Linked DNA regions of Oryctolagus cuniculus. The protein of the gene in region 2 interacts with the protein of the main gene of each other region in a biochemical or structural test. Links are inferred from orthologs where the notes say so. Each region holds a gene or a part of one and is shown on either strand. Other genes may lie near its edges. The genes, in order: SENP1, PML, MAPK7, KLHL20, CHEK2 and DAXX.

Evidence for each region.
Region 1: of the proteins of PML (region 2) and SENP1, one has a biochemical effect on the other in vitro, tested with the Homo sapiens proteins (2 studies listed by BioGRID). The link is inferred for Oryctolagus cuniculus from reciprocal best matches to the Homo sapiens genes PML and SENP1.
Region 3: the proteins of PML (region 2) and MAPK7 form a complex in vitro, tested with the Homo sapiens proteins (2 studies listed by BioGRID and IntAct, with this or other methods). The link is inferred for Oryctolagus cuniculus from reciprocal best matches to the Homo sapiens genes PML and MAPK7.
Region 4: the proteins of PML (region 2) and KLHL20 form a complex in vitro, tested with the Homo sapiens proteins (3 studies listed by BioGRID and IntAct, with this or other methods). The link is inferred for Oryctolagus cuniculus from reciprocal best matches to the Homo sapiens genes PML and KLHL20.
Region 5: the proteins of PML (region 2) and CHEK2 form a complex in vitro, tested with the Homo sapiens proteins (2 studies listed by BioGRID, with this or other methods). The link is inferred for Oryctolagus cuniculus from reciprocal best matches to the Homo sapiens genes PML and CHEK2.
Region 6: the proteins of PML (region 2) and DAXX form a complex in vitro, tested with the Homo sapiens proteins (2 studies listed by BioGRID, with this or other methods). The link is inferred for Oryctolagus cuniculus from reciprocal best matches to the Homo sapiens genes PML and DAXX.

What each region holds. Positions count from the first base shown.
Region 1 is NC_091440.1:137,670,017-137,675,046, forward strand, and holds the start of SENP1 (sentrin-specific protease 1), read right to left. Parts: upstream 3,150-5,030; 5' UTR 2,850-3,149; intron 2,535-2,849; exon of another isoform or gene 2,351-2,534; intron 1-2,350. Other genes in the region: PFKM (ATP-dependent 6-phosphofructokinase, muscle type), read left to right, coding at 3,775-3,856, 4,403-4,525. UniProt on the Homo sapiens protein: Protease that catalyzes two essential functions in the SUMO pathway.
Region 2 is NC_091443.1:109,449,730-109,453,060, forward strand, and holds the end of PML (protein PML), read right to left. Parts: coding exon 3,222-3,331; intron 2,779-3,221; coding exon of another isoform or gene 2,693-2,778; exon of another isoform or gene 2,658-2,692; coding exon 1,897-2,657; 3' UTR 1,148-1,896; downstream 1-1,147.
Region 3 is NC_091448.1:61,506,503-61,511,687, reverse strand, and holds the start of MAPK7 (mitogen-activated protein kinase 7), read right to left. Parts: upstream 3,524-5,185; 5' UTR 1,998-3,523; coding exon 1,779-1,997; intron 1,710-1,778; exon of another isoform or gene 1,548-1,709; intron 1,250-1,547; coding exon 1,012-1,249; intron 525-1,011; coding exon 359-524; intron 1-358. UniProt on the Homo sapiens protein: Plays a role in various cellular processes such as proliferation, differentiation and cell survival. The upstream activator of MAPK7 is the MAPK kinase MAP2K5.
Region 4 is NC_091438.1:2,198,583-2,203,065, reverse strand, and holds part of KLHL20 (kelch-like protein 20), read right to left. Parts: intron 4,021-4,483; coding exon 3,837-4,020; intron 1,686-3,836; coding exon 1,542-1,685; intron 1-1,541. UniProt on the Homo sapiens protein: Substrate-specific adapter of a BCR (BTB-CUL3-RBX1) E3 ubiquitin-protein ligase complex involved in interferon response and anterograde Golgi to endosome transport.
Region 5 is NC_091452.1:22,176,096-22,181,035, forward strand, and holds the start of CHEK2 (serine/threonine-protein kinase Chk2), read right to left. Parts: upstream 3,193-4,940; 5' UTR 3,063-3,192; intron 1-3,062. Other genes in the region: iron-sulfur cluster co-chaperone protein HscB, read left to right, coding at 3,385-3,620, 4,917-4,940. UniProt on the Homo sapiens protein: Serine/threonine-protein kinase which is required for checkpoint-mediated cell cycle arrest, activation of DNA repair and apoptosis in response to the presence of DNA double-strand breaks.
Region 6 is NC_091436.1:135,802,574-135,807,740, reverse strand, and holds the start of DAXX (death domain-associated protein 6), read right to left. Parts: upstream 3,384-5,167; 5' UTR 3,245-3,383; exon of another isoform or gene 3,127-3,244; intron 3,020-3,126; exon of another isoform or gene 2,886-3,019; intron 2,754-2,885; exon of another isoform or gene 2,617-2,753; intron 2,036-2,616; 5' UTR 1,984-2,035; coding exon 1,777-1,983; intron 1,623-1,776; coding exon 791-1,622; intron 691-790; coding exon 476-690; intron 321-475; coding exon 113-320; intron 1-112. UniProt on the Homo sapiens protein: Transcription corepressor known to repress transcriptional potential of several sumoylated transcription factors. Down-regulates basal and activated transcription.

The DNA.
Region 1 (5,030 bases), on a different chromosome or scaffold from region 2:
ATAGCAGGTAAAGCTGCCACCTGCAGTGCCAGCACCCCATAGGGATGCTGGTTTGAGTTCCCGCTGCTCCACTTCCTATCCAGCTCCCTGCTAATGCACCAGGGAAAGCAGTGGAGGATGGTCCAAGTCCTTGGACTCCTGTACCCATGTGGGAGACTAGGAAGAAGCTCCTGGCTTTGGATCAGCCCAGCTCTGGCTGTTGTGGCCATTTGGGGAGTGAACCAGCAGATGGAAGATTCTTTATCTTTGTCTCTCTGGCTTTCGAATTAAATTTTTTTTCCCTCGGGACCAGCACTTTGGTATAGCAGGTTAAGCCACCACTTGCAGAGCTGGCATCCCATGTGAGCTCCAGTTTGAGTCCCAGCTACTCCACCTCCAATCCAGCTCCCTGTTAATGTGCTGTGGAAAGCAATGGAAGATGGCCCAAGTGCTTGGGCCCCTCCCACCCACATAGGTGTCTTGGTAGGAGCTTCTGGCTCCTGATTTTGTCCTGGCCCAGCCCTAGTTAATGCAGCCATTGGGGAGTAAACTAGCAGATGGAAAAATCTTTTTCTGTGTAACTCTCCATTTCAAATAAATACGTAAGTTTTTAAATAAAAAATTTTTTCTCTTAAAAACAATTTTAGTAATTTCCTTGTACATACTGATCATTTAATTTACTGAAAGGATGTAAGCGGCCGGCGCCGGCATCCCAGGTTCTAATCCCAGTTGCTCCTCTTCCAGTCCAGCTCTCTGCTGTGGCCCAGGAGGGCAGTGGACGATGGCCCAAGGGCTTGGGCCCTGCACCCGCATGGGAGACCAGGAGGAAGCACCTGGTTCCTGGCTTTGGATGGGTGCAGTGCGCCGGCCGTGGTGGCCATTTTGGGGGGTGAACCAATGGAAAATGGAAAACCTTTCTCTCTGTCTTTAACTCTGCCTGTCCAAAAAACCAAAAAGGATGTAAACAATTACAGTATTTGAGGTGAATCAGATTAGAAACTGAGCAAAAGATAATTAATTGAGGGCCGGCGCCGCGGCTCACTAGGCTAATCCTCCGCCTAGCGGCGCCGGCACACTGGGTTCTAGTCCCGGTCGGGGCGCCGGATTCTGTCCCGGTTGCCCCTCTTCCAGGCCAGCTCTCTGCTGTGGCCAGGGAGTGCAGTGGAGGATGGCCCAGGTGCTTGGGCCCTGCACCCCATGGGAGACCAGGAGAAGCACCTGGCTCCTGCCATCGGATCAGCGCGGTGCGCCGGCCGCGGCGGCCATTGGAGGGTGAACCAACGGCAAAGGAAGACCTTTCTCTCTGTCTCTCTCTCACTGTCCACTCTGCCTGTCAAAAAAAAAAAAAAAAGATAATTAATTGAAAATCTAAAAAATGATACAGTTCTGACTGTAACATAATGTAAATGTACAGGAAAACATGTCTGAGTTCACACAAAGAGGGGATTACAATTGAGACTGTTTAGGCTATAATGAAGTCAGTCGAAAACATGTACTTAGGGCAGGCACCGTGAAATCCACACTACCCAGGACCAAGATGAGGCTGGGACAATTTAGGGTATCACTCTACCCTGGGAAGCAACTGTGTGTATGACACTGTACCACACCCGCCCACCTCGGTCATCTCTCCCAGTTGGCCCCTAGCATCTTGAAGGTCCTAAGCACTGGCTATTTAACATACACGGACATAACACTGTGCACCAGCTGCACGGGCGGTTGCGGGGGACACCAACAGAGCAAGGACAGGTCTCTGCCTGGGAGAAGCCAGGGACGGTGAGGCGGGGCCTTCCTAGGTGCGCAGGTGGGGGACTTGCGGGGCCGCAGCCAGGAGTTACATCACCGTAGCCAGAAGCAGCAGAACCTGTTTGTGTGCCATCCACCCCCTGACTTCACCCCTCAGCGAACAGACACCAGTGGGGTAATTAACTGAACAGGCAGGAATGAAGCTTCCACGACGCAGGGGGAGGGGTCGGTCCCTCGGCCGGGGGAAGGTGAAGGGAGCGCATCTCAGCAGAGGCTCGAGACCCCCGAGTCAGAGTCGGCGCGGCCAAAACCGAGGGGATGGGGAGCTCTCCCCCGCCCGGAAGAGCCCACGCCAACAAAGACCCCGGCCAGAGTCGTGAGCCCCCACCCGCGGCTTTCGGTAGATTTCAAGGAATCACCACCGCCCCCGGACACAATGCGTGAACTCCACGTGAACCGCAACAACTAACGAGGCTGACTCCAAAGTGATAAAGGAGCCGGCTACTGCCGGCCAGATAGTGGGAATCCTGCAGAGGCGCTGATAAGCAGAAATCACCAAGCTCGGGACCTGCTCGGATCCGGAGGGCTCACGTCGGGGTCGCCGGGGAGGCGGCGCCCCAGGAATTACCGGGCGGCGATGAGCCGGGTCAGCGGGTCTCCCGCCTGGGCAGGGGCGTCCGGCGTCTCTGTCTGGCGGCGGCACTAGCGGTCGCACATCTCGGGGAGGGACCGCCGGGCAACCGCGCAGGGGAGAGGCGCGCGCGGCACGCACGAGCAGTCGCGAGCCATCACTGGGTCAAGGCAGGCAAGAGGTGAGCGGGGGCGCGCCGCGCGGAGCGCCCCGAGGGAGGAGCCCCGCTCCGGCGGGAAAGCCCCACCGGGGGGCGGCGCCGAGTGGGGCCGCAGTCGGCGGCGCGGCGCGCGGACCCCCGGCCTCGCGGCGCCCGCGAACCGCCACCCGCCGGCCCGCGGCGCGCCAGGGGAAGGGGCGCCGGGGGCGGGGCCGGGGGGACGCGCCGGCCCGACGCCGCCTCGCCCCCTCCCGGCCGGGGCCAGGCGGCCCGACTCGGCCTCGCGGCCCAGCTCCCGCCATCCTCCCCCTCCCCCTGCTTCCCGCCGCCACTCACCGAACCGGAACCGGCTGCTATGCGAGGGGGTTTCCGGCCGGTCGCGGGACGCAAAACCCGGGAACCTCCGCGAACCGGAACCGCTTTCACAACGCCGGAAGGCCCGCTGGCGACAGCGGCGGGGGGGGGGGTGTCAGCGGGCTTCGGGGCCCGCGGGACGCCTGCGCGGTGCGGCGAGGCCTCGGAAGGCGAGGGAGCGTTGACTGCTGCGGTCACGACTTCCCTGCTGCCCCCTGCTTGTGCTGTTTCTCTTCCTCAGGCTCGGAATACTTGGCGCGCCCTTGGTCCTTTCTTTTCTCTGTCCCTCGGCCCCCTTACCCGCCGCTCTCTGGTTCCGCCCCGCCGTCCCGGCTCGCGCTGCGGTTTCCATGGCAGCCCGTTGGCGGCCCGGGTCTGCGGGAACTTGCGGGCGGCTGCCCTGAGAGGAGGGGACCCGGGGTCCCGATAGGTCTCAGTTTGTGGCGGGTCCCGTGGAGGCTTACAGAGCGTGCGCACTCGAGAAGAGGCAGTCAGAGCTGGCTGAGGCTAGCAGGTTCCTCACTTGGCAGCGCACCGCGCTTGATTAAGTCGGGGGCGCGGGGGGCGCTTTGGGGGCGGCCCTGGCGGCGTGTGGAAACGCAGGCCTGCTTTCCTGGGTGGACCCGGGCCTTCGCTCCGGGAGCACACTGGCTGACCTGCAGCCCGTGCCATGCTGAGGGGGTCCGCTTGTTGGTTCATTCAGACTGGCGGGCCTTGCCTGACCAGGCCTGTCCCGCGGTGCTGAGGCGGGCTGGTGAGGGCCACCTGGCGCGCCAGTGTCTGGATGGCTCCACGCTAGGGCCTCGTGCCGGTACCGTTGGACATACCTGCTCCTGCCAGTCATGGACACCTAATCATGGCGCGATCTGCTCATTTGGACTTAATTCTGTCTCTCTAGGAGACAGCCATGCGTGAAGAGGAATTTCATCTGAAATTTTTCATGTGTGTGATTCGGTCTCACCAGGTAGTCAGGACTCCTCAAAGCACAGGTACCTGAGTCTCCTGACGGTGCTCCTGCGCACTGCCTGGGTTCTTGGATGGGAGTCTCAGAACAGGCGTCAGGGGCAAGTGGCCAGGTGTGTTCCCTTGTCTTACCTTTTCCTAACACAAGCACCTGCATAAGTGTGTGGATAGGCCCAAGCAGGTAAGGAGGATTTGGGAGCTGAGAGAGAACCAGAGGCAGAGCCCACGAGCTGGCTGTTGGCTTCTGGGTCCTTAGTCTAGGCTCACCTCTGGGAGTCCCAGTTCCCACTGTCATTGACACCCCAAACCTGTAAAGTCAGTCAAGCCCCAAGGAAAAATGACCTCTTCCTCGGCAAGTATCTGGCTGTGTTCTGCTTTTCCCGTTTATGTCAGAGGGATAGATTGCTTTGGACGAAAGATGGTTGTTGAGAAGAGTCACTGCTTCTCTTATTTTTCACTGGATTTATGGAAAGAGTGTCATGGACAGCTGAGAGTCAGAAAATGAACGGGAGGAAGGAGTGCTCCTCCCTGAGTCTCACCTCGAGGGTAACCCAGGACTCTTTGCTTCTCAGCTGCGGAAGCTTCGACTTCCAACAGGCTCATACCAAGGCCACCACCCAAGACAGATGCCTCCCAGAGTCTGTACACTGATGATGACCCAGGCACCGAGGAAGGCATACCTCATCTTCAAACTGGTGAGGCATGCGGGGAAATGAGGGGTAGCAATGTGCAAAGGAGTGTTGGAGAGTGAGGTACTCAAGCGCGGGTGGTCAGCCAGGGTAGACCTACCAAACTCGAAATAAGAGCTAAGACACAGGGAGAAAGTGTGAGTGTGTGAGAAAGGGGAAGAGAGAGGTCGTTTGGAAAACTAGAGAAAGGAACACCCACCTCAGGAAGCACAGGTTTTTTTCCTCTTTACTGCATCAGTTGTCCCCTCATCTGTGAGTTGCTGGTTGGCTTCCCGAACTTCCGTCAGCAAGTTTGATATACAAGCATGTGAAATATTATTTTTAGTTAATGTTTATTTATATATTTATATCTACTTGAAAGGCAGAGCAACAGAGAGAGATTGAGAGGGAGAGAGAGAGAGCTTCCATCTACTGATTCACTTATCAAATACCTGAAACAGCCTGCCTGAGCCAGGCCAAAGCTGGGAGCCAGGAACTCTACCCAGGTCTTCCATGTGGTTGGCAGGGACCC
Region 2 (3,331 bases):
TTGCCGACCACTGCTATCTCAGGCCCGAGTTCTTCCTTGTGCGTAGATGAGGCCTCCGCTAACGTCGCAAGCTGGCCTCTGGCCTCTGCAGGTGGGCTCCTGGCTCTGCTCTGGGCTCCCCCAGGACCCCTAGGGAGGTTTCCTGAGCTCATCCTTTGCCTCCCTGGACAAGAGATCCTGTTTTTGTTTGTTTGTTTTGTTTGTTTGTTTGTTTTTTAAGCGATCTTCCCACACGTTGTCTCCCTGGTTTGCAGGGGTCCTGTGCGGTACTTGTGACCCGTATGAGCCCGTTTCACAGAGCCCAATGTGCCAGATCAGGACCACAGGCTGCTGAGTGGGGGCTGAACCGCAGGCCCCTGGCTTCCAGCCCAGCCCTGAGACCTCCTGGTTAGGGAGAGTGGAACCTGCAGATGAGGGGCCCACGCTGTGGCGCAGCGGGTAAAGCCACCACCTGTGATGCCAGGATCCCATATGGGCACCAGTTCGCGTCCCAGCTGCTCCACTTCCAATCCTACTCCCTGCTCAGGGCCTGGGAAAGCAGCAGCAGATGGCCCAAGTGCCCGGGCCCCTGCACCCACATGGGACACCCGGATGAAGCTCTGGGCTCCTGGCTTCAGCCTGGCTCCACACTGGCCATTGTGGCCATCTGGGGAGTGAATCAGTGGATGGAGGAGCTTTCTCTCTCTCTCTCTCTCTCTCTCTCTCTCTCTCTCTGTAACTCTGACCTTCCAACTATGCAAGCAAATCTTTAAAACAAACAAAAACTCCTGGAGACGAGGCACAGGTGGCACAGGAGGACTTTGAGCCTTTGGTCAAAGGGTCGAGCTGAGACGTGCAGGTGCCCTGGGCAGGCCAGCGGGGTTAAGGGTGGTGGCGCCGGGCAGTTGCATTAGCTGGCTGCCCACACAGGCCGGGGCGCGCAGTCCCCCGCACTGGTGCCACAGGAGTGCCTGCAGGTACCTACCTGGGAGGCTGCCTCTGTGACGTCCCACACGCGCATCACGCCCCATCACCAGCGTCCCTGGCCTCCCTGTCTGCCGAACGTGGGATGCAGAAGAGGAGAGCCCCCTCCCCTCACCAGGCAAGAGGCCTCTCGTTGGCTCCTGTGAGGTGGCCCGAGCAGAGTCTATGATTGGAGCCTCAGAAATTCGGCTAAAACCCACAGCTTTATTAACGCCGGGTTCAGCATAAAACCCATCACCAGCCTTGCCTGGGGACAGCCGGCATGGGAACAATTCCTTAGGAGCCCCCAGAGGGTCCCCAGGGCACCTGCGGTGGGAGCAGAGGTCACGGGCCTGCGGCACTGGGCAGTGTGGGCAGTGGGGGACGTTCCCGGGCTGGGAAAGAGAGTGGAAGGCTCTGGGGGCCCAAGACCGAGGACGAAGCCTGGGTGTGTGTGGGGTGGGGAGGCATTTGTGTGGCTGGGACAAGGTGAGCAAGCTTCTCCCAGGGGCTCACAGTGGTGGTGGTGGGGGCAGCGGCTCCTGTCTGCTGGATGGATGCTCGGGGGGCCAGGAGATGTGGCCGCAGCCCAGCCAAGGCTGGGGGAACCCAGGCTCCGGGGGCAGATGGCTGTGAAAGGCACTTTGGGTACGCGTGGGACTGCAGGTGGTGCCCGTGGGAGCAGCGAGCAGTCCCCTGGGGCGATGGCGTGGGGATGGGAGAGGAGTGCAAGGACGCCTGTGGGGGTGGCAGGTGGGGCAGCTGGGGCCACTCAGAGCCCCCCTGGGGGGGGTGGGGGTGGCCTTGGACCCTGCATTGTCAGGTCCCAATTTTTGGACCTAACGACACCTGAGCCCTGGGAGCAGGGCGCTGGGAATGTGAGATGGGTGGGGCCTGGCCAAGGGAGTCTCCCCTTCTCTGGCCACCTCTGTCCCCATCGCCCACCGCCTCCTCTCAGCTCTGCTGGGCGGCGCCTTGTTCCAGGCTGTGGCCATCGACAGAGGCAGATGTGCCCTCGGACAGGCGCTGGAAGTAGGCGCTCAGAGCCTGCAGCCTGGGAGTGGGCAGGGCCGGGGCCGGCGCCGTGGCTCGCAGACCCAGGGAGCGGCAGTACTTCTCCAAGCCCTGCTGCGGGTCGCCGCGGTGCGCACTCAGAAGCTCCTGGAAGCTGGCCTTGTGCAGGGCCAGCAGGCGGGCCTCGGCCCGGGACAGGATGGCCGCCTGCACCAGCGGCTGCAGGGAGGAAAAGCACTGCATGCTGTGGAAGGAGTGCACGTGCCGGGCCAGCTGCCGGCCGGGAGAGACCTCCAGCAGGAGGCACAGGTCACGCATGGCCAGCACGGCTGCCAGGGCGCTGCCCTCGCTCATGCTTCTCGCCAGGTAGGTCTCGGCCAGGCTCTTGAGCTTGAAGCTGCTGGCTCCGGGCACGAGTTCGCGCACGAGGGGCAGGAGGGCCAGGAAGCCCGACACGGCCTCCTGGAAGGCCCCCAGCTTGTTCATGTCTTCCAGGGCCCGGAGGAAGACGGAGAGGCTGGGGCCCCACAGCGAGTAGCAGGCCAGGACGGGGCGGCGCATGGCGCCCAGGAAGCCAAGGAAGTGCTGCAGCCCCGTCTCCAGGGACACCGCCTTGGAGCAGACGCTGAAGGCTCCAGGCTGGATGAGCACCCGGAACTTGGTCTCGCGGTTCACGGCCGCCAGCTGGCTAATCTTCTGGGCTGGGCAGGAGAGAAGGGCAGGGTGAGGCCCCAGCTCAGGGGCGGCGCCTGCTGGGAGGGACCAAATGCGGCCTGGACGCCGGCTCTGACGGCCCTGGGGTAGGAAGAGGGCAGGGGCAGGCTGCCCAACCCAGCAGACCCGTCAGCTGCCACCCAGCCATGCGGGAGACCCCAGACTGCTTCTGCATGGCCCTCTGCACCCTGGCCTCCGGTCCCAGAGTCACTAAGCTCAGGCCGCCAACCCTGCCGGGAACGGGAATGCCAGACCTGCCCTGACCGCGCCACCCACAGAGCCAGCGCTGAGGTCCGCGGAAGCGCCTGCCCCTTCTGTCAGTCCAGCGACATGTTGGACCTGCAGGGCTTGCGGCTCAGGGAGGGGCGCGGTGAGGCCAGAGCAAGCCCGGGGAGGGGTGTCGTGGGGTCCTCCCACACCCAGGTGCAGGTCACAGAGGGGACCCCAGGCGAGGGGGTGTCCCGCCCCCTCAGCCAGAGCTCCCGGCCATCCTGACCGTGGCACGTGGCTCAGAGGCTAAGCTAGGAGGGGGCAGTCCCCAGAGAACGCACTTTCACTGTCGATCTTGAGGTCAAAGAAGACCAGGGGCCTGTCTTCTGCGTGGGGATCAGCGAGGTTCACGTCCGGGGCCCGCGGGGAGCTGAGGCCCTCCAGCTGGAGG
Region 3 (5,185 bases), on a different chromosome or scaffold from region 2:
TTGGTGGCTAACTCTGCTGTTGGGCTGCTCGAAGGACTATGATGAAAACTGTGAAGGCATACCCGTTTTCTCTAGAGAAGGGTTCTGTGATCAATTAGTGATGTCTGCTGTGGGAGTAGGAGGGTGCAATAGCAGCATCAACGTTCTACATTGGCCAGCTTATACACTGAGAGTCTATGAAACTGTAAGGCCTCTACTCTTCCTGAGGAGTAACAGCTGGCCCTGGCAACGCCCTAAGGCAGCACTGGCCTTGCGATTATGGAAATTTTCCCAGCTGCCTTTCCTAGCTTCAGCGATAGGAGCCCCAGCCCTTGCTACAAGTCCTAACTGTGCCTCCCTCTCCCATCACGCTGCTTACACGGATTTGAACTCGCCATAGGGCACCGTGGGCCTCAGGATATCCTTGATGGCAATGATGTTGTCGTGTTTGAAGTGTTTGAGGATCTTCAGCTCCCTGAGGGTCCGTTTGGCATTGGTCACCACGTCGAAAGCATTAGGGATCTTCTTGATGGCTACCTGCTGGCCTGGGGGGCAGGGCAAAGGCTGTCACCACAGGGTCTCTTAGAGCAGCCACTTCCAGGATGCAAACAACTACAGCTCCCACACACTGGGCACCTACAGGCTACCGAGCCTGGTGCTAACTAAGCACTTCAACCACACTGCTGCTACCCTATGAGGTAGGTACTACCGGCTCAACGTTACAGACGAGGGAACCCGGCGCGGTCATCTGTGAGAAGCTGCACAGCCAGTTAGCAAGAGAGCCTCCCAGACCTAGCCCATCCCGCCACCACTCCCTGGTGCCAGGCTCTGGCCCCAGAGCCCAGCAGCCTGGTGGGATGGCAAAACAAAACCAAACAAAAAACGGCTAGGCCAGAGTTGCAAGGAGTCCTGCCTCACTGGGAGCCTGGGCACCTAGAGATCTCTGGATCGGAACCACACCTCACAGCCCGGCTGGCTAAGGCAGGGTTTCTCACTCCGAATCTGACAAGGACAGTGACCCAGGAGACGCACCGGTGAGGCGGCGGCGGGCGGATGACACCACCCCGTAGGCCCCGTTGCCGATCGTCTCGATGATCTCGTACTCGTCGCCCACGTCGAAGGTCACGTCGAAGGAACGGGCCTTGAGCAGGGCCAGGTTCTTGGCGGCGACCGAGGCGGCGGTGTGGACGGGTTCAGCCTTCACCGACCCGGGGGGCTCCCCAGAGCCATCCTCGCCATCTTCCTCTTTAAGGGGCTCGGCCATGGTCCTCTGTGTGGAGACGCCGGTGATGAAGAGGGCCCACCCCCAGCCCCCATCCCGGGGGTCTCAGTTTCCCCTTCTGTGGGTTGGGGAGGGGGCACCAGGGAAATTTCCAAGTTTCCAAAACCAGCCACTTGGCGAATGGGAGCGGCTGGCCCGCTGGAGACACCCGACGCTGGGAGCCGCCGCCCCGGGCCTGGGTCCGGGTGGGGGTCGGGGTCGCGGGTGGGGGAGGGAGCGGCGCGGCGCAGTCCAGGAAGAAAGGGCGGGCGGGGCCCTCGGGTTCCTCGGGGCCACACTCACTGACCGGCGCCTCCTCAGGGATCCTGGAAGTCCCAGCGCTCGCCGGCGTCCTCGGCCCCGGCTAGAGGAGGGGGCTCCGGGAACCGCACTCCCGCCCGTCCGAGGCCCGCGGCCACCTCCTCAGCGCCGCGCGCTGCCCAGCCCGGACCCCACCGCCCCGCCTCCCGAGACCACGCTCCCTCCCGCCGCCGGCCAATCGGCGAGCGGCCCCTGCGGAGGTTCCCACCCCTTTTACCTGCTGAGCCCAATCAGGGCGCATCGGCCTAGGAAACCGTACCTCCGCCCGCCGGGGTCCGGCTCGCCGGCGGGAGCCGCCGCCCTGAGGGCGCTCGGCGCTCCGGAGGGGTGCGCCGGCCGCCGGGCGCAGTCCCCTGCACGCATGCGCACCGGCAGCCCCGGGCGCCGCGAGAATAGGAGGCAACGCCCCTGCACGTCGGCCCGCGCGCGTCCCCATCCATCGGCTCCTGCGGTCAATCACGGCTCGTCCCGCGATTGTGGGGAACAGCCGGGCACTCGGGGCGAGCTGAGAGGCCTGGGGTTGTTACCTTGGAGACTGGCTCCCGCAATACCCCTCCTTGGGCCCCTCTTCCTTAACGGGTCCCCATTTTCTCGGTTCTGGGAGCTCTGGGAAAGCATCGTTCGCGGGAAAGGGCGAGCAGGCACGTCCAACCATAGAGACCTGGGTCCTCCGGGATTCTAGAGCGTCCGGCCTCGGAGCTGCCGCTGACTTCCGGCGGCCGGTCTTCTCGCACACTTCCGGCGCTCGCTGGTAGTTTGCTGGTCCGGCGTCTGCCCTCCGCAGTGGCTCTGTCCCGCGGCTCCGGCGTTTCGGGCTGCGACAGAGTGGAAGGAGGCAGCGGGCCCTTCTGTGGAGTCCGCGAGTCGGCAGCACTCTGACTGGAACGCCATTCCTCGCGTAGTCGAGTGTCGAGCCCCGCCCTGCGACGCCAGGGCGGCGAGGGCTGGAGGTAAGAGCGGCGAGGAAGAAGCGGCTTTGTGGTGGAGACTCCGGCGGTGACTGTTTCCGTGGAGGAATGAAGGCCCTGCAGGCGGAGCCACGGTGTGGAGCTGGGACATTCGGGCGAGTTTGCCCTGCACCAGGCCCGGCGGATGGGAAGACGGGGAGAGCGGGAGGGAACCCGGTCGTCAGGAGTCCCGGAGTGCCAGGTTGACCGTTTCGGCAGAGTTCAAAGGTCGTTTATTTTGCATGGATTTCACACTTTTTTGAGGGGGGAGGGCCAGCGTTGTGGCTTAACGAATGCAGCCTCGGCCGGCAGCCCGCGCTGGGGCGCCTGCTCGAGCCGCCCCACTTCCGATCCGGCTTCCTGCCCCCGTGCTGCGTGGTCCCTGGGAGGTGGCCCCTGCCCTCCGCGGCGGACACGGGGGTGGAGTTGCCGGTTCCCGGCTCGGCCTGGCACAGCCCTGGCTGTGGCCACCATTGGGAAGGGAGCCGTTACGTGTGAGATCTCTCTCCGGTTCGCCGCTCTCTAGTTACGCCTTTCAGGCACCTAAGTAAATCTCTTTTTAAAAAAAGTTTTTGATTCTGCTTTCCACAGTGCGTGCGGTACCTTTATATGTATATCTAGTAGTTAGATAGGTAGCGATCGTATGAACCAACTGAGTTGGGGTTGAAGTCTAAATTTGTTTGGTTTCCCTGGCAGCATAACAAAGCCAAATTATCTCACGTGATTTGCACTGAGCATTAATAAGGCAACCAACCGTACTCTTGAGAAACGGGGTTTCCTGTTACTGAGATATGGAAGTGTTTGAGGGGAATTTTTTTTTTTTTACACAGATTTATTTGTTTTATTCGAAAGGCAGAACCAGAGAAAGAGGGAGAGACAGATCTGTCTGCTGGCTCACTCCCCCTGTGGCCGCAATGGCCGGAGCTGGACCAGGCCGAGCCAGGAGCTTCTTCCAGGTCTCGCACGCAGGTGCAGGGGCTCAAGCACTTGTGCCATCTTCTGCTTTCCAGACGCTTCAGCAGGGAGCTGGATCGGAAGTGGAGCAGCTGGGACTTGAACCAGTGTCCATACGGGATGCCAGCACTGCAGGCCACGGCTTAACCACAGCGCCGGCCCCAGGGGCCTTTCTAGAGATGAAATCCATGCAGCGTGAGGCCCTGTGTCAGCTCTCAGTGTAAGCAGAGGTCACACAGAGGCCGGAACATGAAACACATGATTTTCTAGGGACCCACTGTACTCTGTCTGGTGGTCCTATTTGAATCAGGAATAAAATATCAGAAGAGACTAATGCACTGTGTATCCTTTAAATACTTCAAAAATATTCCATCCAGTCAGGTTATTCGCTGCAGACAATTCACTATCCCCTGGTTAAAAAGACTGATTCTCTTACTTTTTGTCTGAATTACTGTGCTGCTGCTCCCACAGCAGCGGCTCTGTCTTGGAGAAGTCATCAGTTATCCCTTTCTGGTCAAATCCAGCCTTTTGACCCTTGCCCTCTCGAACTCTCTGTTGCATCTGACACAACTGACCACTTGTTTAAAAACGGAAAGGGTGGAATCACATTTTCTTGTGGTTCGAGACTTTGGTAAAGAAACGTTTAAGTGAAAAATCTTGGTCCCGCCTCCTGGTGGCCACTAGAGGAAAGTGACTCAGACAGTCCCAGGTCCCATCAGGACAGGGCTGCGTTCTGCGAATCACACTGGGAGGCGGTGTTGGCATTGTGAGAACTTACCTGCTGCGCCCTGCACACACCTGTGGGCATTTGTAACGGTGGTGTTTGCGTAGCACAACCTATCTAAGCGTGGGGAAGCACCGTGAAATATAGACGAGAATAAATAGTGCTTCTGTGGAGGGCACTCACCACGAATGGGGCTTGCGGGACCGGAAGTTGTTCTGGGTGAGTCGGGGTCAGTGCAGGGTGACTGCAGGCCCAAGACATGACTGCACCCCAGGTAGGTTTCATCTATACCAAGGCCACATGGGATTTATTTTTAAAAAGTTTTTCCCTTTTTAATTTTTTAAGGATCTGAGAGGTAGAGTTACAGAGAGATGGAGAGAAAGGTCTTCCATCCACTGGTTGGTTCCTACTTTACCCACTGTGCCCCAGTGTCAGCCTAAAGAGAGGACATTTTATTTTTTAAAGATGTTATTTATTTATTTGAGAGGTAGAGTTACAGGCAGGGAGGGAGGGAGAAAGAGAGAGAGAGCTCTTCCATCTGCTGGCTCATCCCCAAATGGCCACAACAGCCAGGGCTGGGCCAGGCTGAAGCCAGGAGCCAGGTACTCCATCCAGGTCTCAACGCGGATGGCAGGGGCCCAGGTATCTGGGCCATCTGCTGCCTCCCGGTGTGTTAGCCAGGAGCTGCATCAGAACTGGAGCAGCCGGGGCTCTAGCCAGTGCTCCAGTCTCCAATATGGGGTGTTGGTGTCGCAGAACTCCATGCCGGCCCGTGGGGCATCTAGCCTCGTTTCCAGGTCATGTCCCATTGGACAGGCCCAGCCTAGGGGAAGAGTGTGCTGATTGGCCAAACCCCAGTCACCTGTGCTCTGCTCTGGCCATGTGTGGATGGGGCCCATTTTCCCAAGGAAGCCTGGGAGGTAGGGACAGTGGGCGGCCGAGGGGCCGATGAGAAGAACAGCAGTGTCCTGCACAGTCATGCTCCTGTGCCGGTGGGGT
Region 4 (4,483 bases), on a different chromosome or scaffold from region 2:
GGGAAATGAAATCAGGCAGCTGAGCAGGCATCTGCACTCCCATGTTTAATGCTGTATTGTTCACAAGAGCTAAGAAATGGAAACAACCTAAATGTTTAATATCAACTAATAAATGAAGAAAGTGTGGTACAGGTACACAAAGGAATACTGCTTAGCCATAAAAGGATGAATGGTTGTCATTTGCAACAACATAGATGGAACTAGAAGTCATTACATTAAACAAAATAAGCTAAGCACAGAAAGCCAAGGACTGCCTGATAACAAGCACACATAAAGTCTTAAAAAGATGATGAGAGGGACCGGCGCTGCGGTGTAGTGGGCAAAGCTGCTGCCCGCAGTGGCGCATCCCATATGGGTGCCAGTTCTAGTCCCAGCTGCTCTTCTTCTGATCCAGCTCTCTGCTATGGCCAGGGAAAGCAGCAGAAGATGGACCAAGTCCTTGGGCCCCTGCACCCACATGGGAGACCCGGATAAGGCTCCTGGCTCCTGGCTTCGGATCAGTGCAGCTCTGGCCGTTGCAGCCATTTGGGGAGTGAACCAACAGAAGGAAGACCTTTTTCTCTGTCTCTCCCTCTCACTGTCTGTAACTCTACCTCTCAAATAAATAAAAAAAAAATTCTTTAAAAAAAATAAAAGGCCTAAATCTTTGGGCCTCTCCACCTGCATTGGAGACCCGGAAGAAGCTCCTGGCTCCTGGCTTCAGTTCGGCACAGCTCTGGATCGGCGCAGCTCCAGTCCAGCTGTTGTGGGCAACTAGGGAGTGAAACAGTGGATGGAAGACCTCTCTCTCTCTCTGAGTAACTCTGACTTTAGACAGGAGGAATAAGTTCAAAGATATAATGTACAACACCATGACTGTAAGTGTATTGTATACTTGAAAAGTGTCGGAGTAGATTTTTGGTGTCCTCATCACAAAAAAATGAAAAGCCTTTTAGTTGGCTTGATCCAGTCATCCTACGATGTGTGTCTATTGCAAAATATGCTGGTCACCATCAATAAGTATTTGCATGTCGATTAAAAATCAATTTAAAAATGCTTAAAATATTTTTTTATTTTTTGACAGGCAGAATGGACAGTGAGAGAGACAGAGAGAAAGGTCTTCCTTTGCCGTTGGTTCACCCTCCAATGGCCGCCGCAGCCGGTGCACGGCGCTGATCCGATGGCAGGAGCCAGGTACTTATCCTGGTCTCCCATGGGGTGCAGGGCCCAAGCACTTGGGCCATCCTCCACTGCACTCCCTGGCCACAGCAGAGTGCTGGCCTGGAAGAGGGGCAACCGGGACAGAATCCGGCGCCCCGACCGGGACTAGAACCCAGTGTGCCGGCGCCGCAAGGCGGAGGATTAGCCTAGTGAGCTGCAGCGCCGGCAAAATATTTTTAATCTTTCTAGCCTTTATGATCAACTGAAAACTTTTTCTGGAAAGCCTATGGTAAATTCACTGAATTGTGAATCCTCTAATGCTCTAAGTTGGCTGTAACTGTTTCCTTAAAACTGTCCTAGGTGTCCTTAAAAAAATTGAAAAGTATTTAAAAAAAAATCACCTCTCAACAATGTTGAGGCAAGACACACCATCCTGGCCACCCACGGCATACAGAAAGCCTCCAAGTACTGCCACACCAACACTCGTCCTGCAGGTGCTTGTAGGGGCCACATCACTGCTCCACTGGTTTGTTTTGGGGTCATACCTGTAAAGAACACATCAAGAGCAGAGTTCTTATTCCACAAAGGAAGTCTGGCTATGTTACATATTTCAAATCAAAGGATTGATATATGTTATCTCCCTTAAATAAGGGCAGATTAATAACTAAAATACATGGAAACCTATTTTGATCTTTGAAATTCATTTGTATATAATAAGCTGTATATGAATATATATTTTAAAAAATCAAAACAGTATCAACAAAACTAATTTTCCCTTTGAGTTCCACTTGAACTCTGGTCTCTTCCCATTATGATTGGCATATACTCTTTAATACTTTTCAGTAAAATGTTTTCAAATAAGTATACATGTACCCATATGCACATGCATCTGTGAGCTTGTTTTATTTACATAAATATATGTCCACAGTAGGCACTGTTTCTGTTCAAGATATTTGAGATCTATTTATAGAAGTATAGCACAAGAGATTCCTTTTGAACTATTTTATAACACTGTATATGCCACGTCACTTAATCATATTCCTATCCATATATCCTTTGACTATTTCCAATATGTTGCTATTAAAAACAGTGATTATTCTTGTATCTTTCTCCCTGTGCAAATGGATAAAGACTAGAAAATGGATAAAGACTAGAATCGTTGGGGCAAAGAATATATTCATTTTTACTTTTATTTTTTAAGATTTAATTTATTTATTTGAGAAGATGAGTTACAGGGAGAGGGAGAGACACAGATAAAGGGCTGCCATCCATTGGTTCACTCCCAAAATGGCCACAACAGTGGGATGGCTGGAGCCAGCAGCTTCTTCTAGGCCTCGGATGTATGTGCAGGGGCCCAAGGGCTTTCTCAGGCCACAGCAGAGAGCTGGATTGCAAGTGAAGCAGCTGGGACTCGAACTGGCGCCCATGTGGGATGCTGGCACTGTAGGTGGCGGCTTTACCCACTATGCCACAGTGCTGGCTCCCAAAATCTTTATTTTGATATCTACAGGCTTCAATGTAACTGAGATATAAATATTTAATTATTTTGCTTATATTTGTTTAACTGGTTTACTTATTTATTTTAAAAATATCTTAGTTTTATTTCATGATTCTAGAATTGACGACACTTTATTTCATAAAATACAGTTAGCATTCCCTTGGTATATTTAAGTGCACTCCCCTAGCCACTCCACTTTTATGGAACTGATTCCTCGGTGTTTTTCCAGCCACAATGGGAACTGAGTTGCTGCATGGTTTCAGAGGTGTGTTGTGGAAATACCAAGGATCACCTTAAATCAACATCATGGAAAGGAAAAGGGTGCATGAGAGCAAGAAGCTTTTAAAACATCAGTTACTGTAAGGTTTCCATTGTGCCCTGTGTGATAGATATTATGGATAAAGGCAGCTCAACAATTATAGCACAATGGATTAGGAACAAGCTTGTTAAAGATACATAAAGAATAAAGGCGTGAGAAACTAATTTATTTGCATGACCATCAGAGAATTTTATGTAATGATTAACATTTGATTCTTGAAGGATAAGTAAGTCTTAAAAGGGCAAATATTCCAGGGAAGAAAGCAAGCATACACATAGGGAAACAGACATGAAAGACGATGGTGTGCTGGGGCTGGCGCTGTGGCGCAGCAGGTAAAGCCGCCGCCTGCAGTGCTGGCTTCCCATTTGAGCACTGGTTCAAGTCCCAGCTGCTCTGCTTCTGATCCACCTCTCTGCTATGGCCTGGGAAAGCAGTGGAGGATGGCCCAAGTCCTTGGGCCCCTGCACCCCCATGGGAGACCAGGAAGAAGCACCTGGCTCCTGGCTTCAGATCAGCGCAGCTCCAGCCGTTGCAGCCGTCTGGGGAGTGAACTGGCGGCATCCTCTCTGCCTCTCCTCTTTCTACATAATTCTCACTTTCAAATAAATAAATCAAATCTTTAAAAAAAAAAAAAAGACAGTTGTGCCAGGAACTGTGAGCAATTTGTTGGGTCCGTAGTTGCATGTTTAGGGAATGGTGCAATCCAATGCAAAGTGGAAAAACAGGTGGAGAACAGATCATAGAGGACTTGTACGTCATGCTACAAGGATTAGGGTGCCAACCAGTGCCACAGACTCAAGTCACATCTGTTTCCTAATTAGTATCTCAAATGACACTGCACGTACAATAGAGAAAACATTTCAAGCCCTCTTTACTCACCTTTCAACACTATTGAGATAAGAGGATCCATCATGGCCTCCCACTGCATATAACAGGTCATCAAGGACACTGACCCCAACTCCACATCGCCTTTTGCTCATTGAAGCTACCATGCGCCATTCATTTGTCTGTGGATCGTATCTTTCAACACTGGAAATGGCATCTCCACTGCACCAACCACCGACTAAGGAAGAAACAGAAATGATCAAGAGGATGTGCCCTAAGGCAAACTGTATCAGTCCCTGCTAACCTCACTGTGGATTAATGTGTGACTAAGCAAATGTCTCTAGAAGTAGGTCCAAATACAGTCATAACTTTCATTTATTCCACTGGGATTGCTATAACCTTAATTAATTTTCTAAATACATTAGTATCATGTCCACTTGACAAAGAAGGACAATGACACCTATTCAAATAGAATTGTAAGGTAATATCCTATATAATGGATAAAACACTGAATTTAGTTAGAAAATTAAGGTTTGATTGTTGCTTCTACCAGTTCTGCAATGTTGGGGAAATCCTGAGCCACTGTTTCCTCATTTGTAAAATAAGGAATCAAAATTAAAAAGTGGAAAAATACTAACAATGTATAAAAAGGATGATACAACATGACCAAGTAGGTTTTATCTGAGTAGACAAGAAGGTTC
Region 5 (4,940 bases), on a different chromosome or scaffold from region 2:
GTCTCTGCCAGATACACAGAGACCTGGATGGAGTCCTGCCTCCTGGTGTGGCCCAGCCCTGGCTGTTGTGGGCATTTGGGGAGTAAACCTGAGGCCAGAAGATTGATATTCTCTCTCGCTCTCTTTCATGCTTGCTCTCTCGCTCTGCCTTTCAAACAAATATATAAACTTTTAAAAAGTGTTCTTTAAAAAAAGAGACAAAATTCAAGAATGAAGTATGAGCATATTACAAAGGCAAAAAAAACGGCCGGCGCCGCAGCTCACTAGGCTAATCCTCCGCCTTGTGGCGCCGGCACACAGGGTTCTAGTCCCGGTCGGGGCGCCGGATTCTGTCCTGGTTGCCCCTCTTCCAGGCCAGCTCTCTGCTATGGCCATGGAGTGCAGTGGAGGATGGCCCAAGTGCTTGGGCCCTGCACCCCATGGGAGACCAGGAGAAGCACCTGGCTCCTGCCTTCGGATCAGCGTGGTGCACCGGCCGCAGCGCGCCAGCCGTGGCGGCCATTGGAGGGTGAACCAACGGCAAAAGGAAGACCTTTCTCTCTGTCTCTCTCTCTCACTATCCACTCTGCCTGTCAAACACACACACACACACACACACACACACACACACACACACACAAAGGCAAAAAAAAGAACGAACGAAAAAAAAAAAAATCCAGGGCCAAAACACTCTACCAAAATTAAAATCCTACCAGTCTAGACCTGTGCTTCTATGCTACCATTTTTCCCCAGGTCACTTTTTTGACTGTCATAAGACACAGAGAAGAAAAAATAAAGTTACTTGAAGGCAACAAGTGTAAACGCAAGGACACTGAGCTGGAGGGGGCACTCAGAGGCTTTTAGGCATCCAGTTTCTAAAAATTGGAAATGCGGGGGCTGGTGTTGTGGCTCAGTGGGCTATGCCACAGTTTACAACACTAGCATCTCCTGTTCAGTGCCAGCTGAAGTCCCAGCTGTTCCGCTCCTAATCCAGCTTCTTGCTGAAGAGCCTGGGAAGCCAGTGAAGATGGCTCAAGTGCTTGGGCCATTGCATCCCAAGAAGAGCCTCAGGTGGAGCTCCAGGCTCCTGGCTTCACACTGGCCCAGCTCTGGCTGTTGAGGGCTTTTGAGGAGTGAACTAGGGGTGGAAGATCTCTCTATCTGTCTCTCCTTTCTTCCCCCCTTGGTCACTCTGCCTTTCAAATAAACGTTTTTTAAAAAAACATGCATGTGAAATTTAATTATATTGATTGTATTAGTCCGTTTTAAGTTTCATTCCTAACTTTCAAGGGATTGGGCCAGGCCAAAGCCAGGAACCTGGAACTTCATCCCGATTATCCAAAAGAGTGGCAGAGGCTCAACTTAGTTGAGCCATCCCAGGCACATTAGCGGGGAGCTGGATGAGAAACAGTGCAGCCAGGACTTGAACCTGTGTTTCTCTCTGAGATGCCAGTGTCACAGGCAGCAACTTATCCCACCACACCATAACACTGGCCCCTCACATACATTTTTGAAAGGGAAAGATGAGGCATGGTCAGGTGGCTTGGGATAAAAGACAGGCAAAACAAACTTCACCACTTGGAAGGGGCCCTTTCACCAAAACCTTTCTCCCCCAGGCTTGCTCCTGGAGGGCAGGGATCCACGTCCCTGAGAGCTATCTAAATGCCAGGCTGCTTAAGGAGGCCAGACAACTCAGCGTAGCCCTTTGTGATGCTAAGTAACTTACAGCATCCTAAAGAGCCTTCCACTTAAAAGGCTCCCGCCCTTGCCTTAGAATTAACTTGAGGGGCAGTTAGTCAGTTACTTTCAACGCTGACCTAAGTAGATTTTAAGGCACAGTCTCTTTCCCAAGCATGAGGCCCACTACTTACTACAGGTTAGCAAACAACATCACTCTCACTGACTGTATTTGCACAGCTTTCAAGATTACCAAAGTCCAGGGGCTGGCGCCGTGGCTCACTTGGTAAATCCTCTGCCTGCGGCACCAGCATCCCATATGGGCGTCGGGTTCTAGTCCTAGTTGCTCCTCTTCCAGTCTAGCTCTCTGCTGTGGCCCGGGAGGGCAGTGGAGGATGGCCCAAGTGCTTGGGCCCTGCACCCGCATGGGAGACCAGGAGGAAGCACCTGGCTCCTGGCTTTGGATCAGCATAGCTCTGGCCATAGGCACCATTTAGGGGGTGAACCAACGGAAGGAAGACCTTTCTCTCTGTCTCTCTCACTAACTCTGTCAAATTAAAAAAAAAAAAAAATTACCAAAGTCCTATTGTGTGATCCTTAAAACACACCTGACCTGCTGATCTAAAACGGTCAGCCAGGCTGGGTCCCCGACTCCCCCACCCCAACGAGCGGGGAGAGTGTGCCAAGAGGTAGCTTTAAGAGGCTAGAGGCCAGCAGGCCTGAGCTCAGGCACTGGAGTCGAACTTCTGCACGATCTTATGCCTCGGCCTCTCTGGACCCACTTCCTCATCTGGAAAAAAAGCACCCAGACCAGAGCTCTCAACGCGCCAGTGCGTGTAATGCTCCTCCTAGGGTAATGGTTGCTAACTGGGAGCAGAGGAGTGAGTGAGGGGACAAAGTGGCAGCAGGAAAGCTCCAGGGCTGTGAGCAGAAGTCCAGTCCCAGACAATCTGAGAGGCTTACAAGGGCCACACAAACGCGTGGTCACGGCACCCCAGTATGTCCGTGTGGCCATTCGCAGGGACTTGCTCCAGCCCGGTCAGTGTGTGTCCAGGTCCTGCGGTGCCCAGCAGCCAAGCCTGGGTTCGCCATCAATAGCTTAGAGATCGCCTCTAAAGAACTGTTCATAATTGCTATCGGTCACGGACCTCTTTACAAAGCAGCGCTGCTGTGACAGTGACGAGCACAACTCTGTTCCCTGCGGTCCTGGCCTATTTAAATGTATAAATAACGAGGAGGGAAGTGAAGTTAAACATTATCTAAGGAAGAAAGCCGCCCACGCAGTCCGCCGCCGGCTCAGAAGTCCAGACGAAGCGGAAGCTTGAGAGACTCTGCTCGCCAAAGACCCTGGAGAACGAGATTCGATCCCCCAAACACCCAAGAAGAGCTCCCCCACTATGACTCACCGCGTGAGCCCACTTGCAGCCGCACACTCTCCACAGGCGCAGCCAGCAGAGTGGCGCTAAACCTGAAGATACAAACTCCGCCCTCAGCCAATCAAAACGCTCTCCGCCGCCGCCAGACCAATGAGGAGCGGCGGATGTGACCGCCACGCGTAGGCTCAATGCTTGCCGGGAGTTGTAGTTTAAGAGGCAGAGCGGAACACAGTCTCTGGGGCTCACTGCAGTGATCCCGCCCCCGCAGCTCCTCAGCCAATCGGCAGCTTCAGGCTCGTCGACAGTGTTCTCCGCTTATTCCCCACCGGTGGGGAGACCGGCCGCGGGCCAGATGTGGAGCGGGAGGTCCCGGGCCTTGCTCCGGGTGTGGGAGTTGTGGCCGGCAGGGGTTCCCGGAAGGAGACTGTTAAGCTGCAATGCTGCGTCGCAGGCGAGAAGTAATTCGCCCGGATGTTGGAACTGCGGTGTACCGGGGGCCCCTGGGCTGGGGGACGGGTTCTTCTGCCCGCAGTGCCGCGCGCTGCAGCCACCTGACCGAGCTCGAGACTACTTCAGCCTCATGGATTGGTACGGGAGGCGGTTTTGGGAAATGCATGGCGGAGAGAGGCGCCAGGGGCTGGCCTGCGAGCGTGGAGGGCGGGCCAGGCGTGGGAAGGACAGGACGGGACCGGGAAGACCGGTGGGCGGAGCCCGGAAAGTGGGGTTTGTGGGGTGTCCTGAGAGAGAGGAAGGGGCGTTGAGGGGTGGAGCCGGAGTGGGCAGGGGGCTGGATGGGCGGGGACGGGGAGGCGACGGGGTGGGGGGAGACCCTGGGGCGGCCCCTGCGGGAGAGGGAAGCGGGCGAGGGGCGGATCTTGGGGGCGGGGAGACCTGAGGGGAAGCTGGGGTGGGACGTGTAGGTGAGGAGTGGGCGGAGAACTTCACATCGTGGGCAAGGCCTAGGGGGAACGTGGATCTTGGAAGAAGAGGGTTTTCCGCCCTGGGGGTGGGGAGATGTGGGCACAGCTGAGCTGGTGAGGAAATAGGGCCGGCTCTGGGAGTAGAAAGCCGAAGGGATTTGGATTAAAAAGGAGCCAGGGACGAAGGTCCCCGGGCTTTAGAAGAACAGGGTGGGGTTTGGGGATGCCTGGTCACCCTCCTCTGGGATCTACCGCCACCGGTCACTGAGTGCTTAGGATGGGCCGTAGCAGCACTGCCCTCGAAGTTCCTCGGCCTGCGACTATACTTGCCCGCCCGGGTCTTTGCGCTTGGGTGTCGCTCCCCTGATCTCGGATTACTCATCATCATCCTCATCATCATCATCGTGTTCAGGTTGAGGCTCAGCTCAGAGGGCCCTGGCGTCTACCACCCTTGCTGACCCCCTGTTCTTTTCCCTTTTAGCACTTAGCTTTTTTTTTTTTTTTTTTTTTTTTTTTGACAGGCAGAGTGGACAGTGAGAGAGAGAGACAGAGAGAAAGGTCTTCCTTTGCCGTTGGTTCACCCTCCAATGGCCGCCACGGCCGGCGCAGCGCACTGATCCAAAGCCGGGAGCCAGGTGCTTCTCCTGGTCTCCTATGGGGTGCAGGGCCCAAGCACTTGGGCCATCCTCCACTGCACTCCCGGGCCACAGCAGAGAGCTGGCCTGGAAGAGGGGCAACCCGGACAGAATCCGGCGCCCCAACCGGGACTAGAACCCGGTGTGCCGGCGCCGCAAGGTGGAGGATTAGCCTAGTGAGCCTCGGCGCCGGCTGAGCACTTAGCTATTTTTAAAGTGATCTCCATCTCTGCGCTTCTTGCATTTTCCCCCAAGAGCAGGAACCAGGCCAACAGGAGAGAAATCTATCATTTTGTGTTGTGTGGATTTCATCTCCAATTTCCTTCCAGCAACCGTTCCTTCAGAGTTGATAC
Region 6 (5,167 bases), on a different chromosome or scaffold from region 2:
GGGACGGCTGCTGTGAGAACGGGAGACAGCGCCGCTGGGCGAGGGCCAGGTCTCCCACGGGCGGCTCGCGCGCAGGAGGCACTGACAGCGGGGCGACACGCTGCTTACATACCTGTTCCCTCCTCCTCCTCCTCCTCCTCCTCTTCATCTTCCCCCTGACCTTCCTGCATCTGCTCCAGATCCTCCTCCTCTTCGGAATCTGTGGCCTCCTCTTCCTCCTCCTCCTCTTCCTCCTCCTCCTCACTTTCCTCATCTTCTTCATCATCTGTCTCAGCTTTGGAGGTAGTAGGGCACTCCTGGGAAGCCATTCCACTGGGACCCTGGAGGACAAAGGAGTTTCTCTAAGGAATCCCTGGCCTCAGGGGGTTTGGTTCTTGCATTCCCTCTGTACCCCCCCATCCATCACCCTGGAACCCCTAGCGGCCAGCGCAGGGGGAGGACAAGGTCTCTCTGAAGGCTGCTGTCCCTTCCACACCTCACCAGAATCCAAGGAGGCTGTGGGGGAATCTGCAGGCTGGGAAGAGGTGCCTTGGGGGAGGCGGGCTCTTCTCTTCTGTCTCTCGCCTTCCTCACTTCTGTCTTGCATCATTGCGTATTTGGAGATGACCTCGTCTAGGCGGCTCAAGGCCAAGGTCCGGTTTTCCCGAAGGCGCCGGGCCAAGGCAGGATCTGACAGTGCAGGGTCAATGCCTACATGGGAAGATATGACAGCAGAGCACTCAGCCCACACCCTGGCAGAGAGGGCGAGCGGTCCCCTCTGCCTCCGACGGGCACCCCGCTAACCCGCTACCTGGCCTGTAGTCATCCGTGAGGTGGCAGCCGAAGTTGTAGATGAGGTCGAGATGGCGTCGCTCCTGTAGCCTGACGCCCACATCTCGGAAGGCGTCCTGGGCCATGAGCTGGAGCTGCTGGCGCGGGAGGCCGAGGCTGTGCCGGACAGCTGCCTTCTCTACGGCCCGCAGCACATCACCGTAGTCGGGGAAGGTGTCGGGGCCTGGCTTGTTGATGAGCCGCTCGATGCGCCTGTTGACCTCTGGGTAGCGGGTGCCGCGGTAGGGGATGCGCTGCTCTATGACCCGGCCGGTCAGCGAAGAGCAGTCTTTCAGCTCGCACAGTCGCCCAAAGAGGCGGATCAGCTTCCGCTTCAAGCGCGACTCCTGCAGGTACGTGGAGTCTGGGTCATCCAGTTCTGACAGATCCAGCTCCTTCTCCTGCAGCCTCCGGATCTCCGCCACGTACAGTGCCAGCAGCTGCTCTAGGCGCTGGATCTGCCGGCGGGAGCCACGGGTCCTTGGGGCCTCGGAGACAGCGGCCTCAGCATTGCCGGGCTCCGAGGCCGGGTCTGCAGAAGTATTACTCCCAGAGGGCTCACTGGAGGCGGTGGCAGCAGGAGCGAAGTTCAGCTTCTTCTTGGCTGAGTGGGCCTTGAGAACGGTGCAGAGCTCGTTGATGTAGACGTAGAGCTTGGCGGGCCGGCTCCGGGCCCGGGACAGGACCCGAGAGAGGATGTTGCAGAACTCGGCTGAGGCCAAAAACACAGAGTGGGCACGCTGCTGCCGACTGGAGAGGAACGGGACCACCTCAGGGTGGTCCGCTGTCTGCGTCTTACACAGTTCAAGGAACTGGAGGGTTCGGGGGAAGAAGAGAGCGGACAAGAGACAAGGGAGGGGGTTGAGAGAGAGAAGGGGGGGTGCAGTTAGTGGGGGAGAGAGGACCAGAGAGCCAGTGCGCCATCCCCCTCCCTGGGGTATAAGAATCTTCTCCCCTAAAGCTCACCTCTTCAAACAGCTTCTCATTCTCCAACTTGTAGCATTTCTTGCCGCCAGAACTACTGCTTCCTCCGGCCCCATGGGGCTCAGAGGAGCCAGGGGCTTCTGCCTGGGGTGAGGCCGGAGTGGGGGGTGGGTGGGAGGGCCCTGGCTGAGCGACTGCTTCATCTTCGTCATCATCATCCAGCACAATGATGCTGTTAGCGGTGGCCATGAGGGATCAAATCCCCCGGAGGGAGGAAGTGTTGGGGGTTTCAGAATTCCTGCTGGAAGGGGATGGGGCCTCAGAAAGAGCCCCTCCAGCATAGCCCCTCCCTTCAGCTCAGTTTCCAATCTCCGTGGGTTTCAGCAACACCCAGCCCTGCCCAACAGTGTCCTCACTGCCTGTCTTCTGCAACCATTAGCTCTGGATGCCTTCCCGGGCCCTTCAAGTGGCCCAGGACAGGGAACCGCAAACATTCAATCGCCACACCCAGCTCTACCTCTCACATTGGCTTCCGGTCTTTCTGTTCCATCTCCCCACTATTTCTCATAGTTGTCAAGTTGGTTCTTCCAACCCCAGTCCCGCTTCCCAGATTCCCATGACACCCTCACACACGGAAAACACACTCGCTCTGGCTGCCTCACGTCTGGCCCCTTTCACCCCGAAACATGTCAAACCCATACCCCACCCTTAATGATCACCCCAACTCCTAGACAATCCAACAGTCCTCTCAACGATCCATTCTCCTTTCCCCTCCTGCTATTAACTCCGTATTTCACCCTCTGATGGGCTTCTTCAAACCAGGGCACTGGGTTGGAGTATGACACCTCAAGAGCCCTCCCTCTCACCCCACCCTGATTTTACCTGGTCGCTCTCTGTGACTTGTAACCGATCGTGAGACCTACAGTGGGCTCTCCCGATTCTTCTCGGATCCCACCCTTGAGTCGCGCCGGCAGGGTAGATGAGCTTCCCGCCAAGTCCCCCTCCCCCAGGTCAGACCCCTAGCCGCCCCACTTCCCTTCAGGAATAAGGTACCAGAGCATGCCTCTCAGACTCAGAGCCCGCGTCTCCCCAGTACCGCCTCCTCGATATCCCCTCCCCCGTTTTCGCTCCCCACACAGTCCGGCCCGCACCTCAGAAACGGTCTCACGAGACGACCCTCGCCGCTGATCTCAGAACCTCGCATGGTTCCCTCCGCCTTCCTTCCCCCTCCCACCGCAGGCCCCACTACAGACCGGAAGCCGCGGAGTTTCCGCCTACACGCGTATAAGCGCGGCCATATTGTCGTACGGAGCCCAGCCTTCCTGCTTCCGGAAGGCCCCACCGAGCGTGCCTAGTACCGCCCACCTAGCCCGCGACTCCCTTCCCCCTGACCTGTAGGGGGCGGGGCCTGCCCCTTCAGGGCGTCCCGAAGTTGCTGGGGGCCGCCATTTTGTTGTACGGCCCCAGCTCTGCAGTGACTTGGGCCCTCAGCCGGCGGAGCTATTTTCACCTGGTGCTTCTGGGACTCCGCCAATCAGAAACTTCCTGCCTCGAGCCCAACCGCCAGCTAGTCGCGTGCCGAGACCACTGAGCCACCTTTCCCAGGGGTGGGAGGGGGGCAGTGGAATAGGCTGGCTGAAGAACTGGGGTCGCCAAGGCTGTGCATGGCTTCAGGAAAGGGCAGGCGTGTCTAAACGGGGAAATAAAACCTTTTCCTTCCGCTGGGCAATTAGTGAGGCTTCCGGTCCTGCTTTCCTATCTCCCAGGTACCGGTTTCCACCGCTTAATGGGCTTTGCGCCCCTCGCCGCTGCCCGGCCGCCGCTTCCACTTCCAGGTGCTACGTCCCCGGCCGGGAAATGTCGACGCATGCGTACAAACGAGCACCGCGCTCCCTGAAGGTGGTGGTGGTGGTATTACTATCGCTACGTTGTTGTTGACTGGCTTTCCGAGCTCCGCCTCAGAACTAATCAGCGTCCAAGCCGGCGGGACCCGAGCGGCGCTGCGCTGTTCTCCGAGTGGGGCCTGGACGCTGCGGCGGCATCGGCCCCTCGAGGCTCTGTCGTGGGGTCCGGGGGCTGGGGGGAGCAGCTGGGCGATGGCCCCCGCGCGTGCGGGGAGACGCGGTGGTCTCCTGCTCCTCAGGGAGAGCCGAGGACAGAGTGAGGAAGGAGCCGGAGGAGACGCCTCGCGTGGGGGAGGCCGGGCCGCGTCCCGAGGCGCGCTTGCGGGGACAGCGCGAAGCCCACGCGCGGGTGGTGGCCTCCTGCCTCAGGCCCGCGGCCTTGCATCCCTGACGCTTCCTTTGAGAATCCCTGTCACTTCTCGCCAGTCGTCCAGGCCTACAGCCTTCAAATTGAGCAACAAAACTCGCCAAGACCACTGGGTCTTGACAAAGAGGATTTAAGTTTCAGATCCTCAGCTTTCCCAAAATTGGGCTCCCAGAGCGAGCGCCTGCGGTAGAGGTTCTCCCTCTTCCTTCCCCTTCACAATGGACTTTCTCCATCTTATAATAATTCACAGCCGTGAAGTTGCCTGGGTCTCTTACCTGGCTGAAGTCAAAAGACACGTGGTCTATTTCAGCGATGCACCATGAACACAATCTTCTAGCTTATTAAAAATTCGTAATGCAAAAATTTGCACAATCTTTGTGCTGCTTGATAAATTCGTTTTTCATAATTGTAACGATAAATATTTTTAACAAAGAGTCAAAATCGCAAGAAAGACTTTTTTATTTAAAAAAATGTTTTTTATTTGACAGGTAGAGTTAGAGACAGAGAGAAAGGTCTTCCTTACGTTGGTTCACCCCCCAAATGGCCACTACGGCTGGCGCTGTGCCGATCCGAAGCCAGGAGCCAGGTGCTTCCTCCTGGTCTCCCATGCGGGTGCAGGGCCCAGGCACTTGGGCCATCCTCCACTGCCTTCCCGGGCCACAGCAGAGAGCTGTACTGGAAGAGGAGCAACCGGGACTAGAACCCGGCGCCCATATGGGATGCCGGCGCCGCAGGTGGAGGATTAACCAAGTGAGCCACGGCGCCGGCCCCAAGAAAGACATTTTTCATCTCAATTAGTATATATGTACCTTCAGGAAAACGTAAGAGGTTGGTCAATAAAAGATTTTCAAATATAAGAGCATATAGTTGGTGTTGGTGCTGTGGATTAAGACTCTGCCTCTGGCACTGGCATCCCATGTATGGGTGATGGTTCGAGTCCCAGCTGCTCCACTTTCAATCAAGCTCTCAGCTATGGCCTGGGAAAGCAGTAGAAAATGGCTCAATTCTTTAAGCACCTGTACTCGCATGGGAAACCTGGAAGAAGCTCCTGGCTCCTGGCTTTGAATCGGCCTGGCTCTGGTCGTTGCAGCCATTTGGGGAGTGAACCAGTGGATGGAAGACCTCTCTCTCTCTGCCTCTGCCTCTGTAGTTCTGCCTTTCA